Nothobranchius furzeri: one gene and its partner. Each later gene encodes a partner of the first gene's protein in a complex. Links are inferred from orthologs where the notes say so. Each region holds a gene or a part of one and is shown in the gene's direction. Other genes may lie near its edges.

The links. The genes of interacting proteins can lie anywhere in the genome.
Region 2: the proteins of pawr (region 1) and spsb1 are in contact, whole or in part, in a crystal structure (PDB 2JK9), measured with the Homo sapiens proteins. The link is inferred for Nothobranchius furzeri from reciprocal best matches to the Homo sapiens genes PAWR and SPSB1. Residues at the interface, in NP_001341661.1 of Homo sapiens: Glu68, Leu69, Asn70, Asn71, Asn72, Leu73, Pro74; in NP_079382.2 of Homo sapiens: Arg77, His78, Pro79, Val80, Ala81, Gln82, Gly110, Thr111, Tyr129, Val216, Trp217, Gly218.

Annotation. Positions count from the first base shown.
Region 1 is NC_091741.1:40,727,530-40,735,515, reverse strand, and holds the start of pawr (PRKC apoptosis WT1 regulator protein), read left to right. Parts: upstream 1-3,216; 5' UTR 3,217-3,356; intron 3,357-3,579; 5' UTR 3,580-3,710; coding exon 3,711-4,235; intron 4,236-7,986. UniProt on the Homo sapiens protein: Pro-apoptotic protein capable of selectively inducing apoptosis in cancer cells, sensitizing the cells to diverse apoptotic stimuli and causing regression of tumors in animal models.
Region 2 is NC_091755.1:28,614,190-28,622,041, reverse strand, and holds the start of spsb1 (SPRY domain-containing SOCS box protein 1), read left to right. Parts: upstream 1-3,019; 5' UTR 3,020-3,248; intron 3,249-6,032; 5' UTR 6,033-6,221; coding exon 6,222-6,915; intron 6,916-7,852. UniProt on the Homo sapiens protein: Substrate recognition component of a SCF-like ECS (Elongin BC-CUL2/5-SOCS-box protein) E3 ubiquitin-protein ligase complex which mediates the ubiquitination and subsequent proteasomal degradation of target proteins.

The DNA of each region.
Region 1 (7,986 bases):
TAATCGAATTTTAATCACGATTACGATCTGAGTTTTGAACGATTATAAAAATCAAAACAAGCCGATTATTTGCTCCTCCCGCTTGCGCTGCCCTGAGTTGCAAATGAAGCGCTCCTCCACAGTGTTGCCAACTTAGCGACTTTGACGCTATTTCTAGCAGCTTTTCAGACCCCCTTCTTGACTTTTTAATCCTAAAAGTACCTGGCGAACATCTCAGAAACATCTCTGGTAACCCTTAGCTACTTTCTGGATAACTGTCGTCGACATTTCCTGCAGGTTAGCTAAACACTCCACCTGCGCTCCGGACCGTTTTTCAGGACATTAGGAAAGGGAATTATGTAGTGATGTGTCAGTTGCTAAAGAAACGGCTCTCGGAGTCGGCTCCTTGTTGGATTAACCAGAGTGAGTGACACACACCGTACCTGCGGACTCCTGAGCCTCTAAAAACGGCTAAATGTGCGCGTGCGGCGCGCTAAACACACGTGCGGTTTGCCCTGATTGCTGTGAGACCGGGTTGGGGGGTGGGGGGTGCAGCTGTGGTTGGGACAATTATTACATTAACTGATGGACTTGTAAATAAATAGTTTATAAATAAGGTAGAAATAAGTTCCTCACGCTGATAACTAATAACTAACCTCTCTGAGGACACGGTGCTAGTGCACTCACCTACAGCACCTTGACACGACTCAATAAATGTTATGCAACATTTTGTGAACATCAATTTATTTGCATTTATTTGTTATAAATGCCACTGTATAATTCTTGCTGTCAGTATTTGCAAGATATTGGTATTTGGGTCTGTACTGGTTAGACTCAAGGTCTATAGCCCTTGGGTCATAGACTATGAGCTATCAGTATATTGGTCTTTTTATCCTGGGAATCAGGAGTTATTTTAGTGATCATCTTGTTTCTTATTTTTGTCCTGATTGTGCCTTGAGCAATTTTATGACTGAATAAAAACAAATAAAATCAACATAAATTGAAAAATCGTCCTAAATAATCGTGATCTCAATTTCAGTCACCATAATCGTGATTATTATTTTTGCCATAATCGAGCAGCCCTACACTGACAAACACATTTTATGATTACTTCTGATTGTAGTCAGCCACTCTGAGGTTTTCATGCAGGCTGAACATGAAAATAGTCTCCTACACCTATCTCCTGCATTAGCTTCAAATAGAAAATAGACGTGAAACTCTAGGATTAGAAAAGCCCGACAGATCTACGTCACACTGTCACTCAACATTCATGGACTCACCCATCTTGACTCACAACGGGAAAGGGTGTTGGTTTAGCGTCAAGGAAACAGCAGATCACGCATCGGCTAGTAGAAGCTAACCGTTAGCTAAAAAATCACGGAAAAACAACAAAAACATTTAAACCGCTCCAGGAATTGACATTCTGTCAAACGGCGCTGTCGATTACTGGTAAATCACTACATGAAGTGATTATTCAGACCTGTTAGGGAGGTCAAAGTATAACTATGAAATTATGTGGGAGAAAACTTCCACAGAAAATAAAGTCTATTGCATCCTGTGCACTTCGTTTATTGCAACTTGTGAATATTTAGCTGTCCTTTCGTGTTTTAGTCCGTATCTGACTGAAGCGTGGACTCGGGTAAACTGAATAAATTACAGAAAATATCTTTTTATAAAATAATGTACGTTGATCATATTAATATTTGAAAATGTACACTAGTATTACCCTACATTATATTATAACTCCTGTTGGCTAAATCATTGAAAGGAAATCAGACTAAATGCTTTGTTTCTAGGTGTGAAAGAAAGTTAAGAAATTCAAAATAAAACCAAACTAACCAGAGGGCCATGCTAGGCCATAAAACTGATGCCACCATCTATCGTAAATAATAACATATCATCTGTAAAAATGCACGGTTCCAGTCGGAGACGCCTCCAGGACTGTGTCTATGGATTAGAACAGATGGAGCATTGTTTGCTATCATTAAAGTCTATAAAACAATGTATTTGATCAACTTATTATTTTATTTTTAAAGAAAGTTTTTGTTTTTAGTCTGTTTCTGTTTGTGAGACCTTTGGCCTTTTAACCCAGGATTTTATTCCAGCTTTTTAATAAGCAGAGTTATAAGAAGCTACAAGACTTTTTAAAACAAAATGTATATATATTTTTTTCAATTTTGATTTTGTGAATTTTTTTTACTTTTAAACATAAAACATTGTTGGTACATTTTTTTTATTTAAAATGTAACCCTTAAGGACCCAAACCCTTTTGAGATAAAAAAAAACTGATTGGAGTAAATACATAAAAATGTAGAAAAACATAAATTAAAATAAAGAAGTAAAATGATTTTTGATATACTGTATGTGTAGGATGTCACTTGGAGTTGTCAAACTTGAAAATATGACGCAAGAAGCAAGTTTGAAATTGGATGTGACACAGTGTCACCACGAGTTCATCTTAAGCCTTTTGGTTTTTTGGAAATAGTTTAAGATTTAGGCAATGAGCAAGATTTAACATGCAAAACTGGTTAAATATGGCCTCTGCTTCCAAGATGGTTAAACCTCCCTTTTTATTATATATATTTATGAGGGTTTAATATTATCATTATCATCATCATTATTATTATTATTATTATTATTATTATTATTATTATTATTATTGTCATAATTGTTATTATTATTGTTGTCATTATTATTTTTTTATGATCATCATCATTATTATTATTATGATTGTTTTCATTATTATTATTATTATTATATTATTGTTGTTGTTGTCATTATTATTATTGTTATTATTATTATTATTATTGTTGTCATTATAATTATTATTTTATGATCATCATCATTATTATTATTATTATTATTATTATTGTTTTCATTATTATTATTATTATTATTATTATTATTATTATTATTGTTGTCATTATTATTATTGTTGTTGTTGTCATTATAATAATAATAATAATACTTATTATTATTATTATTGTGATAATAATAATAATAATAATAATAATAATAATAATTATTATTATTATTATTATTATATTTAGAGCCACTTGAGTCTCCAGAGCAGCAGACTCATTTTCTCTACCTGTGCGTCGCAACGGTACAAAAACAACAATTTGTTCCCCTATTTAAACACTGACTTCTGACTTTGGGTGTTTATTTGATCAGTCAGATCGCGCGCGCGCTCCCCGCGCGCCGCTGAGGCGCTCCACATAGCGCGGGTGCATCTTTCAGTACAACACCGGAAGTGCCGCAGCTCCCAGGCTCGTGTCCTGTCCCACAGCGGCTCCCAGTGCTTTTCATCAGAGCCGAAAGCGGTCACACCTGGTCGGACCCAGAAGAGCAGTTGGAAGCCGCTCCGCTCCGTCCAGGTGAGTCTCTCCGCCGAGTTTATCCCGCTTTCATCAACTTTTGCGGGTGTTATTTAGTGAGAAGACAGAGTTAACTAAAAAGTGCGCGGCAGCAGCGAAGAAACTTAGTGGTGCGTTTCCAGCTGAGCGCGACACAAACAGGGCCATAAAAAACGAGCTTACAGCTTTTATTAAGTGTCGTTTCGGTCTGACTTGACCTTGTTTTCCTCCGACCTGTCAACAGCTCCAGAGGTAATCGCGTGAGGAATGTGGTGTCACCAGGGAGCTGCCGAGTAAACTCACGTCTGTGCGCCTCTCCACCTCAAGTTAACTCCAGAATCAAACAAACAAATAATTACACATCAAGGGATCCTCATGGCCACGGGCGGATTTAAGTCGAACCCAACCACAAACATCCTGGAGGAGTGGAAGGCGAAACGCGAGAAAGTCAGGGCGAAAATGCTGGGTGACATCGCTGCAGCCACCGGAGTTCCCTTGAGCCCCAGCGCCAACAACCGCCTGGGAGCTCCTCCCGGCGCGGACCTCACCGGCAGCCCGGACTGGAGCGCCTCTGCTGCGAACTGCCACACCCCCTCCTGCCCCGGCGTAGCTCCGAGCAGACCCGAGGAGGACGCGCACCACCCCGCGGCACCCTCAGCCCCGGCGAGCAACCTGAAGAAGGCCCCGCCTCAGCCAGACAAGGCTCCGGGCGCGTCCCCGGACTCCAGTCTGATGGCTTGCAACGCCAGCGACAAGGAGAGTCCGTCACCCAGCAAGGGCAAGGAGAAGAAGAGCTCTGGTCCCAGTGCACGGAAGGGGAAAGGGAAAGGGCAGATCGAGAAGAGGAAGCTAAGGGAAAAGAGGAGATCAACAGGTGTGGTGAACATACCTTCCAACGAGGTGAGTCAGTCCAGCTGGGCTTCAGTGTTCATCCTCAGGAGATCTTGCTCCTGCTGCAAGCTGCATCACTGGAGGCAACATTTGGATGAAAGTGAACAAGATAAAGTAATTCTTAAATAACTGCATTAAATGGTGGATGCTTGTCTCAAAGGTTGGCAATCATCCAGCAAAAGTTCATTTCAGAAAGAGACAAGAAAGCTTTAATAAAAGTTAAGTCTGCCCTGGCCTTCAGGAGGGCTTGGAGAGGACCTTCAGGGGTCAGGTCAAAGGTTATCCAAGGGGAAATGTGTCAAATTATCAGTATTTCCTAAAATATTAGAGTCACCTGAGGAAATTGTCTGAAAATCAGATTTAATGTCTTACTTTCTTAACTGTTTTTTATATTCTAGGTTTGATTTTATTAAGTGTTGCTGATGTTATGAACATACCTGAAGGGAACAGTGTGTATTTCCCCCATGAAACTACAAAAAACAAGGTTGAGAGCAGCCTCGTTTCCCCTAAGAGACTGCAGATTCCTCTCATGCATGTGTCTGGTTTAATTGCCCCTCTGCAGAGAGAAAAATGAAAAGCAGCCCTGGGAAGGGGGTGGAGTTGGCGGCTTCTGGAAGTGTTTGGAGGCGGTTGTGCCTCTCATTGTTTTTGAATTTAAATCATGTCGCACTCCTAATTCCTGCAGTTCCGACGCTTCGCAGCAACTCGGATCTGAAGCGGTGCCAGTGAGAGCCACCACAGTGATAATGTACTCACGCACTCTAAAAGCTCTTAAATTATACAGAAATGTTGAAAATGAGTTTTTTTCCCCCTTATTATTGAAGGTATTTCTGTAGAAGTGGTCCATAACGTTCCCATTGGCCCAATTAAACAGCCACCCAAGACTCTGTGCCTTTGGGCATCAGGACTTGGAGGTGGACCAGTTCTGCAGTTGGCTCTACATCCTGTTATGAAGGACTGTTGGAGAACTGGTCTCAGGCCAGAGGTGGGACGCTGGGCATGTTTGGTTTTTCCCAGATAAGTCCGATGACTTCCATAGGCAGCAGTCTGTGTGGTAAAGTTTGTGGACGGACTATAATTTAGGAAATCTGAGGTGAACTTTTGCACATCCTGAATGGAACACGTTGATCTGAGTAAGTAGCACACTGTGTGTATCTACATAACCCCTCACTAAACCAGCGGGAGCACATTTGTGCAACAAGCTTTGAAACACTTGTTCAGCTTTATTAGGAGACACGTGCACATTTTCCTCCTCGGCTCAGATACAGATCATAACTTTGCACATTTGCAGGTACTTTAGGTGCTCCTAAAGACTTAGACTACTGTAACTCTCTTTTCACGTGTCTGAGCAGAACCTCCCTGAACCGTCTACAGGTGGTTCAGAATGCCTGTGTTCGGCTTCTGACCAAGTCCTCCAAACACACCCACATCACCCCGCTTCTCCTCCAGCTTCACTGGCTGCCAGTCAACTTCAGGGTTCATTTCAAGATCCTGGTTCTGGTCTATAGAGCCTTACATGGACAAGCACCATCTTACATTGGTGATCTTCTTAGTCCCTACACCCCCAGCAGGTCCCTGAGGTCCAGTGATCAAAGCCTACTGGTTGTGCAGCACCAGGCTAAAGACCAAAGGTGACAGATCATCCGCTGCTGTGGCCCCCAGACTCTGGAACTCTCTCCCCCTGAGCCTGAGATCAGTGGACTCAGTGGTCTCCTTTAAAAAGCAGCTGAAGACTCACTTGTTCAGGCTTTGGTGTGACCTTCATCACCACCCTCTCCTTATTCTGTTCTTATTCCACCTTTCCTGGGATCCATTGCTTTCCCTCTTTCTTATTCATTTTCTCGCTCCCTTTCCTTGCATTTTCTTCTTTTCTCCTTTCACACATATTTCTAATCATTTTTTAAATCTTTTTATACTTAAATTTATTTGATTTTGTGAAACGACCTTCTTCTACGGCTACTACTACCACTTCCTCTTCTTTGGTAGTCCACATAATCATGATTAGTAAACCAATCTTGACAACAGAAATGAAACCCAAAAATCTAATTTAAAGGTGCATGATGTAAGAGTGACATCCTGTGGTCAAACTTGGGTACTACGGTCCATTTTCAAAACACACAAGTGACTCACTGTTCTGTGAGTTTCATGGCTGTTTTACGGCTCAGCGGCAGAAGATTCTAGGTGAGAAGTGAAGACGAGTCATACACGATACGTAAACACATTTTTGTATTCATGGTACTAGTAAATGGTAAATGGCCTGTATTTGTATGGCACCTTCTTGGGGTTCTACAACCCCCCAAGGCGCTTCACAACACAATCCATCATTCACCTATTCACACACACATTCACACACTGGTGGGGATGAGCTACGATGTAGCCACAGCTGCCTTGGGGCGCATTGACAGAGGCGAGGCTGCCGAGCACAGGCGCCACCGGTCCTTCCGACCACCACCTGCAGGAAAGGTGGGCTAAGTGTCTTGCCCAAGGACACAACAGCAGCATTCTTTGATCGGAGCTGGGATCGAACCTACAACCTTCCGATTACTGGACAACCCTCTCTACCTGCTAAGCTGCTGCTGGTGCCTGTAATATCTTGTTGTTGGTGATGGAAAAAGTAGCCTGAGATATTTTTCTTTGTAATTCACTGTTAGTAATGTTAATACATCAAACTTATGTAGCGCTTGTTAGGACACTCAAAGACGCTTTCATGCACTCTTACATTCACACACTGCCAGTGAAGGTAAGCTTCTACGTAGCCACAGCCGCCCTGGGGGGGAGGCTGCCATTTTGTGCCGTCGTCCCCTCTGACCACCACCAACACAGGCAAGTTGAGTGAAGTGTCTTGCCCAAAGACACAACAGCAGAATACCCTTGGCGGGAGCTGGAATCAAACCCATGACCCTCCGATCATGAGGCAACCCGCTCTACCACCTGAGCTACTGCTGCCCCACATTACCTAGCATTAGCCTCTAACATTTTTCCTCGATCTTCGAGTCAAACCGAAAGGTGCCGTGGCTTCTTGGGGTTGTGAGAACGTTGAGGTTAAGCCCCTGTTACTGGTTTCGCTTCTAATTAAAACGCTTCTGCAATCTGCCAGCCGGTGTTGACGTGCATATACCGGTGCAGCAGCGTTAGCTAACACAAACCCCAGCCGGCTGAGAAGGAAATTTGTTTAAATATAACCTTCCTTCCAAACTGATTAAGACCTTGGACTGTTTTTTGATAATTTCCCAGTAAAATTCTTACTTATTGCACCTTTAATCATCAGTCAGGCTCATTGTAAACTACTGGGTCATGCAAGAAACAACATAACGTTGCTTCCATCCATTTTCCCTTGTTGAGATGTTTCTATTTCTCCTGGTAAGAGCTAAACTATGCAAATGAAGACTGACTCACACAAGCCCCCTTTGTGATGTGAGCATGAGTGGACAGGTGTGAATAGAGATGCCTGGGGTTATCTTCCCTACTCGTTTTGTGTAGAATAAAAGCGTCTGAGAGGGATTTCAGAGCATCCAGGGAACCCAATCTTCTGCCTGTTGAGGCCATAATGGCGCGATAAAAGCTCTCTACTCCACTGGAGAAAAAGGTACTTCTGATCTGCATCAACCACTACCACCTCTGTCAACCCAGGAGGATGTCTCCTTTCTCCCTCCATGCTCGCAGCCTCACATCGGAGGGCATTGTTGCCAATGCTGACCTCTGACCTGCTTATGACGTGTGCACAAGAATGTGCAAACAAAAGCGCTCCGTTCTTTGATGT
Region 2 (7,852 bases), on another chromosome or scaffold:
GTCCAGCTCCATTTCATTTTTTTACCTGATGAGTCAGACTGGAGGTAAGATAGTAGATTTTTTTTGATGAGCCCACTGCTGAGCTGGACGTAGAAGCTCTCTTTGCTTTGTGGAGGGAGGAGAACCTCGACCCGAGTGTTTATGAGCCAAACTGCTGAGTGACGGATGGGAAGAGTCCGCCGGCCTCCTGGATTATTTCTGTTGGCGTTACGCCTGTGACTTCAAACACATTTTATTGTTTTTGAGGTTTTACAAAGAGCTTAGTATATTCCCTCATATTAACCAAACATATTAATGAGCAGCTAAACGGTTTCTGAGCATACGTTGTGGATAAAAAAAGCCTTATCTGCATGTGGGCCAAGGAGGCGCTCCTCCACCTCGAACCCCTCCTAGTTGGATGAGGTGTGCTGTTCCACTGCTGATTGCCTCTCTGTGTTTCAGCAGCAATGCACCATTCAAGTCTGCGGGCGACTTGACAAATGAGCAGCGATCTGAGCAGTGGGGGATGCTTGTACTGCACCACATCCTGTCCCGTCCACATCCCTCTGCCCTGCAGTGGTTCACCTCCCTTAACTGATGCGCTTTTACTCTAAACCAGCAAAAGCTCCGCTTAAAGTCACACTATTTAAAAATCTGATAAACACTAGAAAACGATTAAAAGAGTGAGTGGACACACACCAATACTCTTCTCATTCAGCTTGTTTTAATTTTATTGAAGATTTAAACGGAAGTGCATGGATTTTATTTGAAGTGATTTGAGTGAAAACTAATATATTTTTATTTTGTTGTTGAATATTTAAAGTCAGTTTAAATAAAAGGGCACGTTTGTGTTCACAAAAGTGGGCATTTTCAGCTTATTTTGTTTAAATCTATTTAATTAGTTTGTCCAAACCAAAAAAACTATATTGGATTTAAAATTATTGAAAATTGTGAAACATTTTTACTATTTTATGTATTCATTTATCTATAAAATAAGAAAATTGTATAATATTTTGTAGAAAACCTATTAGATTTTGTTCTTGACCACATCAATTAAACAGTAACTGGTGAGGATTCCTAGAAGGAATGATTTCCTTAACTCCACTAGGAACCAAAAGCGATGGTTTTTGTTGCTGAGTAAGGATATCTCCGTTACAGAGCTGAACTGTGCACATCTTAGATTACACGCCAAACACTGAAACCATAGATTTTCTTCTCACCTCCAGCATGAATCTATGTAAAAACAGTCAATGAGTTCATGAAAGTAGCCTGAAGATGCATTTGTTGCTCGTCTTTATTCATTGTTGTTTGTGAGTCAGTGCAGATACTAGATCTGAGATCAGTTCAAAAGCTTCATCCGTGCGCTGCCTGCAACTGCATCCACCACTTGAAGGCAGCATCCACCCTCTGGTCTTCTTCACAAACTGCATCTGAGAGCAAGCGGGTAGCAGAGTGTCTGATGCAGCATACGATCATTCACCTTGACTGCATGCATTGCTCAGACTTGCTTTAGTTGCAGCTGTCCATGCATACCTCCCCACACCCCAACCCCCTCATAAAGGCAGCGCACTCTGCCAGTCGTGGAGTGGGACGTACTATCGATCCTGCTGAAACCATGGTTTCTAAAAGGGAGGCAGTAAGCATGTCTGTATGCCCCTCCTCTGCCGTGGAGTGGTCCTGAGACATCCCCAAGCTCAGCACATTGCACCATCTCTGCATGGGAAAATGGGATTTTCAATGGGAGACGAGCTGAGTGGAAGGTAATTCAAGTCGCCAAGCCATGTTCCTCATCAAGGGTGTAAAATGAGTCAAGTTACCTTCAGAGGCTTTGCACATTGGACAAATAAGGTCATTTTCAAAGGTCTATTTAATCCCAGTGCCTGCCACAGATAATTTATATGACAAATGCAAAGATGAGCATGAGGTCTGAGAGTGAGAGGGCACTGAAATGAGAACATTTAACCAAACATCAGTTCATTATTCCTGTTCGCTCACAATAAAAATGAACATTTATTGTATTTTTAAAGAACTAAATATTAACTCTGAATGTGTTCAGAGGTGTGTAAGCGTGTGCACAAGTGCATGTGTGTGTGTGTGGTGGTGGTGGTGGTGGGGTCTCAGGGTGAAGCTCAGGCAGTGTGTGTGTGTTTCATATAATCCACTAGATGGCAACAGTGTCTTAGTTTTTCTAGCATTCACCTGAATTTTGCTGCATAGGTTCTCTTCCAGCAAAACTATTTAGGTCATAGTCATCCACGTAGGTCATTATTTCATTTCTCTTCCACTCACGATCGAACTTTGTTTTGTATTGGAGTTCTCCTTGTTAAGATACCAGCATAGCAGATAAAAAGTGACTGTATCAGCGATCCAGCTGAACATGAAGGTTGTGTGCAGCGTGAGTCATCCCGTTCAGTCCAATTCAATAAGATGATTTGGATGTTTCTCTGGGTTCAGTGTGTCTGGCACTTCAGCATGACTAAGTCAACAGCAGTGTTCCATGTGGATCCCCTCCGCTTACTAAATTCACAAAGGTCACTGTTTCAGAAACTAGAAGGTCTAACCGGCAGCCTGAGTTACAAAATAGTGCTGGAACAGGTGTGGTTATATTACGTATATATGGATCACATGATGTTTGTGTGTTTGTAAAAGACTAGAAGGTTTTAATAATCAGTTTTCCTTTCAACAACTTGGTTTTGGATCTTCTCTAGACAAGACTGACTGATGTGGAAACAAACTAAAACTAAACCAAGAAGATCATTAAACAGTTTAATCATGTTTGACTCACGTAACCTTAGATTTCAGGTCAGATGCTGGCAAGAGTTGCTCTGTGCAGAAAAGTGGATTTTATGAGATATTTTCCCTCACAAATTTAGAAAGAAAATGAACAAAAGGTTTGTTTAATAACCCAAGCGAATCAGTGTATTATTATTCATTATTATCCTTTCTGTCTGGTATTAAACATCATTGCAAATGTTTAGGTAGTTTGCTGTTTATCTATTTTTGTTTGTAGAGAGACGCAAACCGGAAATCACCCTCATGAACAGGCCGTCTGGCTGCAGATTCGCGGGGAGGTCCTAATCTGCTGAAGCAGCTGGGAGCATTTGACCACGTGACGCGAGTGATGTTTGAGCAGTCATCACCATTCACCTAATTCATGTCGGGCTCTAACGGTAAAAAGGTGGAACGACCAGGCAAAGGGGAACCACGATGAAGTAGAGTGAAACACTGAAGCGGAACCCTGGTCTCTACTTCACCTCCTCATCTACCAGGTCTGTCTGTGTTCTTTACGTTCATTAATGTGGCTGCCGATGCGTTTGTTTTTCCTTTTTGTGTTTCTGTTCTCATCTGTTTGGTGTCAAACAACAGCAGCTGTGAACGGCTCTGACTGTCCGGATGTCCATTGTGGACGCAGTCATTAATTACCGCGTTGTTTTCGTCTCCACGACACATTAACGTTAGCTTAATGTCGCTTGTTTTTGCTAACACAGCGACGCTTAATGTTTCTCTTCTTCTCGTGTAACGAACGTTTTAAACGCAGTCGAGCTGTTGGGGCAGCATTCACACCGACAGCAGATCGCCCCGAGCCGCGCGTGGATGGCCCTCGAGTCCGGAGGAGCCCGCGAGAGCCTCCGGCCCGATTATGCTAACGTTCAATTCAATTCATGGGCTAGTAGGCCTAAAGATGCTAACACCTTTTGTTTTCCACAGGAATTTCCTTTTGTGTTCCAACGAAAGGACATTTGTTCAGGCCTGTGCCAACATTGACTCAAATGTTTCACTTTTAAACCTAAACATTCGTTTAACCTCACGTGAACGATGAGTTCTGGTGTTATTTCAATGCTCTGTGTTGAGGGTAGACTGAAAGTGACTCCTAAAACCACAGCTGCTTAACACAAAACGGCTAATCGACACAATAAACCTCAGAACGCTCACTTAAAAAAAACATTATGAAGGTCACTGTTTTTATACGGGTTATGTTTTTGCTCCTGATCAAACAGACAAAAGCATGTGAAAGAGTCTACTAAACTTGGTTTTTTAGTAAGCATCGACTCATTTGTTTTGCTGGTCAACAAGCAGCTAATTCAGGTGGGCCAAGTCTAAATTGAGCCTTAAATGAGAAACAAGTGCTTCTGTGGCTCAGCAGATCTAGTGAGCCCTTCCTCTTGCATTTCAATCAGCTTCAAAGCAACCCAGGGCCCCAGGAACCCTGATCAGCCCAGGCCTGGCTTTTAGCCCCCAAAACACTATCCTCCACAAGAAACCTTTTCATACTTCTAAAGGTTATGTTTGTTTAAAACTATCACTTTTTATTCTTCTGTTTTGATTTTTTTGCGTCTTGTAAGGGGAGGAAGAATTGTGAAGTATCAGCTCAAAGGCTGTGCAAATTAACATGTTTCACTCTTCCTGAACGCCAGACAGCTATTGAAAAGGAGATTATTTACATTTAGATGCTGGCCACCCACTGCAGGCTTTTTCTTCTCTCCTGCTTTCCAATCACTGACGAGACATGACCCATTTAAATGGTTGTTTACTTGCATTAGAAGAAGAGCCAAGGCACTGCTCAATGAACTCTTGTCTACAATTTAATTAGAGTGGCCTTCCCAGCAGCACAATTTTCCATGTTACACAACATTGTTTGTAGTCACTGCTGTACAGTGACCAAAAAACATCTGTCATTGACTAATTTTCTATTTTAAATCGGTTTTACTTTGGGTGGTAAGTTTAATACGTTTCTGTACAATAACGGTTCTTTTTTAAACGATGCTTATAGAATTATATTAACAAGTGGGGTCTAATTTCCCATAATTTAAACACTGCTGCTTAATACAGGTGTGATCTATTTTAATAGGTTTTGAATTTCTGTGACGCTGAGGTTTTACCTCAATCTAGCTGTGTTTTCCTCTTAAGCATAACCCATGAACCCCTGGTATACCTGGGCCAGTGTGTCAAGCTTGTTATTGCAGCCTTGATGATCAGCTGACGTCATAAACATTCTTATCTTTTCTTGTCTCTGATTTATCAAGAGAAGCAGCATAAGAATCACTTACAAGGAAAATATGAAGATGGATTCATTCAAAGCTTTGAGTTTTTTTCTTGTAAAAAAAAAGTGTTAATGTCAACAGTCCTGTTGTGATGAAACCATATCAGTACCATCTGAGAAATCATACTAATTTAATTTATCAAGCTTTTGCCCCTGGTTATTTTAGGGAAAACCAAATTTTACAAAAGTAAAACTCCTGACTTATTGCTCTAAAGCATAAAGTAAAATTTGGTTTATATTGGTATTTTATCTCGAGACAGTGTCTTGACTCCCAGTCAAGTGTGTCCATTTGGGGTAAATGTTGACCTAAAGTTGGGACTCTCATCAAGCTAACAGATGATTAATAGAACATTATAAAATGGTGGTAATACTGGATTAAGACGTTTTTAGACTGTTCACTTTAAGTTAAATCTGAAACAGGCTGTTCTATTTAGTCAATAATCCAGTCTATTATACTTGAACCGACATTTCACTGATAATAGAAACTTGTTGTTCTTGTCTGTCTTGGTTGGCTTAACTTGACATTTAAGTGACAGAAGCAACAAGCAAGGCCATACTGCCATGCTTTTCCAGATTATAGTTCAACACTTTGGAAAAAACTGAAATGAACACATCCATGTGATTTACTTTTTCTAGCTGCTCAACACATAAGTATGTTCCTGGTTTTAATATAAATCTGTTCTGGGATATGACGTTAGGTTTAAAATATAAGACACTTAAGATTTTCATAACTCTGAAAATCACATGAGAACAAAAACACTTTAAAGGCTAAGCAGAGGCCTGAAGTTAATCTCCAGCTGTCACTCAGGAGCTGGATTCAGTGCTTGTATAATATGAACATGTACCATAACATTTTTAGTTACAGTTGACTGATTTAGTTACAGCTGATGTTCTATGTTGCTGCCTTTTAAATGATAACTGTTTGTAATGTTAGGCTAGTAAGAGTTTGATGCAGAAGGCCTGGTCGGTTTTATTAACATCTTTTATCTGCTTTCATTTGTAAAATTTCCAGGTAGGCCTTAAAACTTCCCTCGTCTTACTTTGGTGACCTGCGTCAAACGCTGGCAGATCAACTTGCATCTCAGGCTGTTGGAGCACGGTGGAGAAGGAAGGTCTGAGGCTCACCACTCCCCCCAGTTGTCTTTGAGGAGGGGGGAGGAATAGGAGGTGGGGCAGGAGGAGCTCTACAACCACCTGGAGCATGGGGCAGAAAGTCCCAGGTGGCATTAAAACCATTGACATGCGGGACCCGGCGTTCAGCCCCCTGACTTTGGAGCTACAGGCCCTGAGTCACACCAAGCCGTCTCGACTGGACCTGCTGCTGGACATGCCGCCCGCCGGCCCAGATGTCCAGATCCAAAACTCATGGAACAACAATGACCGGTCCCTCAATGTCTTTGTCAAGGATGACAACAAGCTGGTGTTTCATAGGCACCCTGTGGCACAGAGCACGGACGCCATCCGGGGACGCGTTGGCTACACGAGGGGACTGCACGTGTGGGAGATCAACTGGGCGATGCGTCAGAGGGGCACGCACGCGGTGGTTGGAGTGGCAACAAGTGACGCCCCGCTGCACTCTGTGGGTTACACAGCTTTGGTAGGAAGCAACGCCGAGTCCTGGGGCTGGGACCTGTGCCGGAGTAAACTCTACCACGACGGTAAAAATGTGCCAGGAAAGCCATACCCAGCCTTCCTCGAGCCAGAAGACGCCTTCATCATACCAGACTCCTTCTTAGTGGTCTTGGACATGGATGAGGGGACTCTTGGTTACTTAGTGGATGGACATTATCTCGGTGTGGCATTTAAAGGACTGAAAGGCAAAAAGCTGTACCCAGTGGTGAGCGCCGTGTGGGGACACTGTGAAATACGAATCCGGTACATAAATGGACTCGATCGTAAGTATAAATCTGTACACTGATCGAGATGTACTCTATTATAAGCCAGTGTGTAGCCACATAGGATTTTCGGGGGGGTAAAAGATCCATCAAGAAAAGGGTGTTTTGTCCTGTCTTCTAAACAGGATAAATGATGTCCCCCTGTTACATAAGATAATACATGTCAGCTGTTTTCTGACAGCTGCCTGCTATCCCTAAGATTAATATAAAATGACTACAAATGGAATAATCCCATTTATTTATCGGTGAATGCAACGTGAGCTTTCGGTCAGGAAACACGGGTTCGTTGTTAGACCCTGTCTTACCCCACTGCTCCTCCCTGGTGCTCTGTGCTCATCAGAGTTTAATGTTCAGCTCAGATCCTTTGACCTAGTTTGTATCTGTTCAAACGAGGCTCCACAGATGATGATTTATTCACAAAAGCCAGCTTTGGTTGGATTTGAGACATCTTCTTGCCTCTGGCTGTAGAGCAGGACATTCTGTCAAAAATGAAATTACATTTTTGTGACTTGTTTGTGCACAACTACTCCAGTCACTAAGGTTTTATCGCAGGCTATGTTGAGTTAGATTAACTTTGTGGTGAATGGCTCTTACTGACCTGAATTTAACCTGTTCAGTGAGGCCTGAGAGTTACTTGTTCTGAGTCAAGTCTCTAAACTCTGAGGCTGTTACAAACACACACCCTCGTAGCTTCTGCTCTTCTCTTCCTCCTCCTCATCATCAGTAAAAGACATGCCAACGCTTTCATCTGACAGCTTGACTAATGTATCCTGCGTCTAAATCTGCAGCTGGGAAAACAACTTACTTCCTGCGTGTCTTTTCTAGCTCATCAACCAAAAGACTTGTACACGATGCGCTTGTGTGTCTTCCTCTGATCTGCACTTTTCCTGCCAACTGCACACTTCGTCTTATGTGACAAAACTGAAAAGGGTCGCAT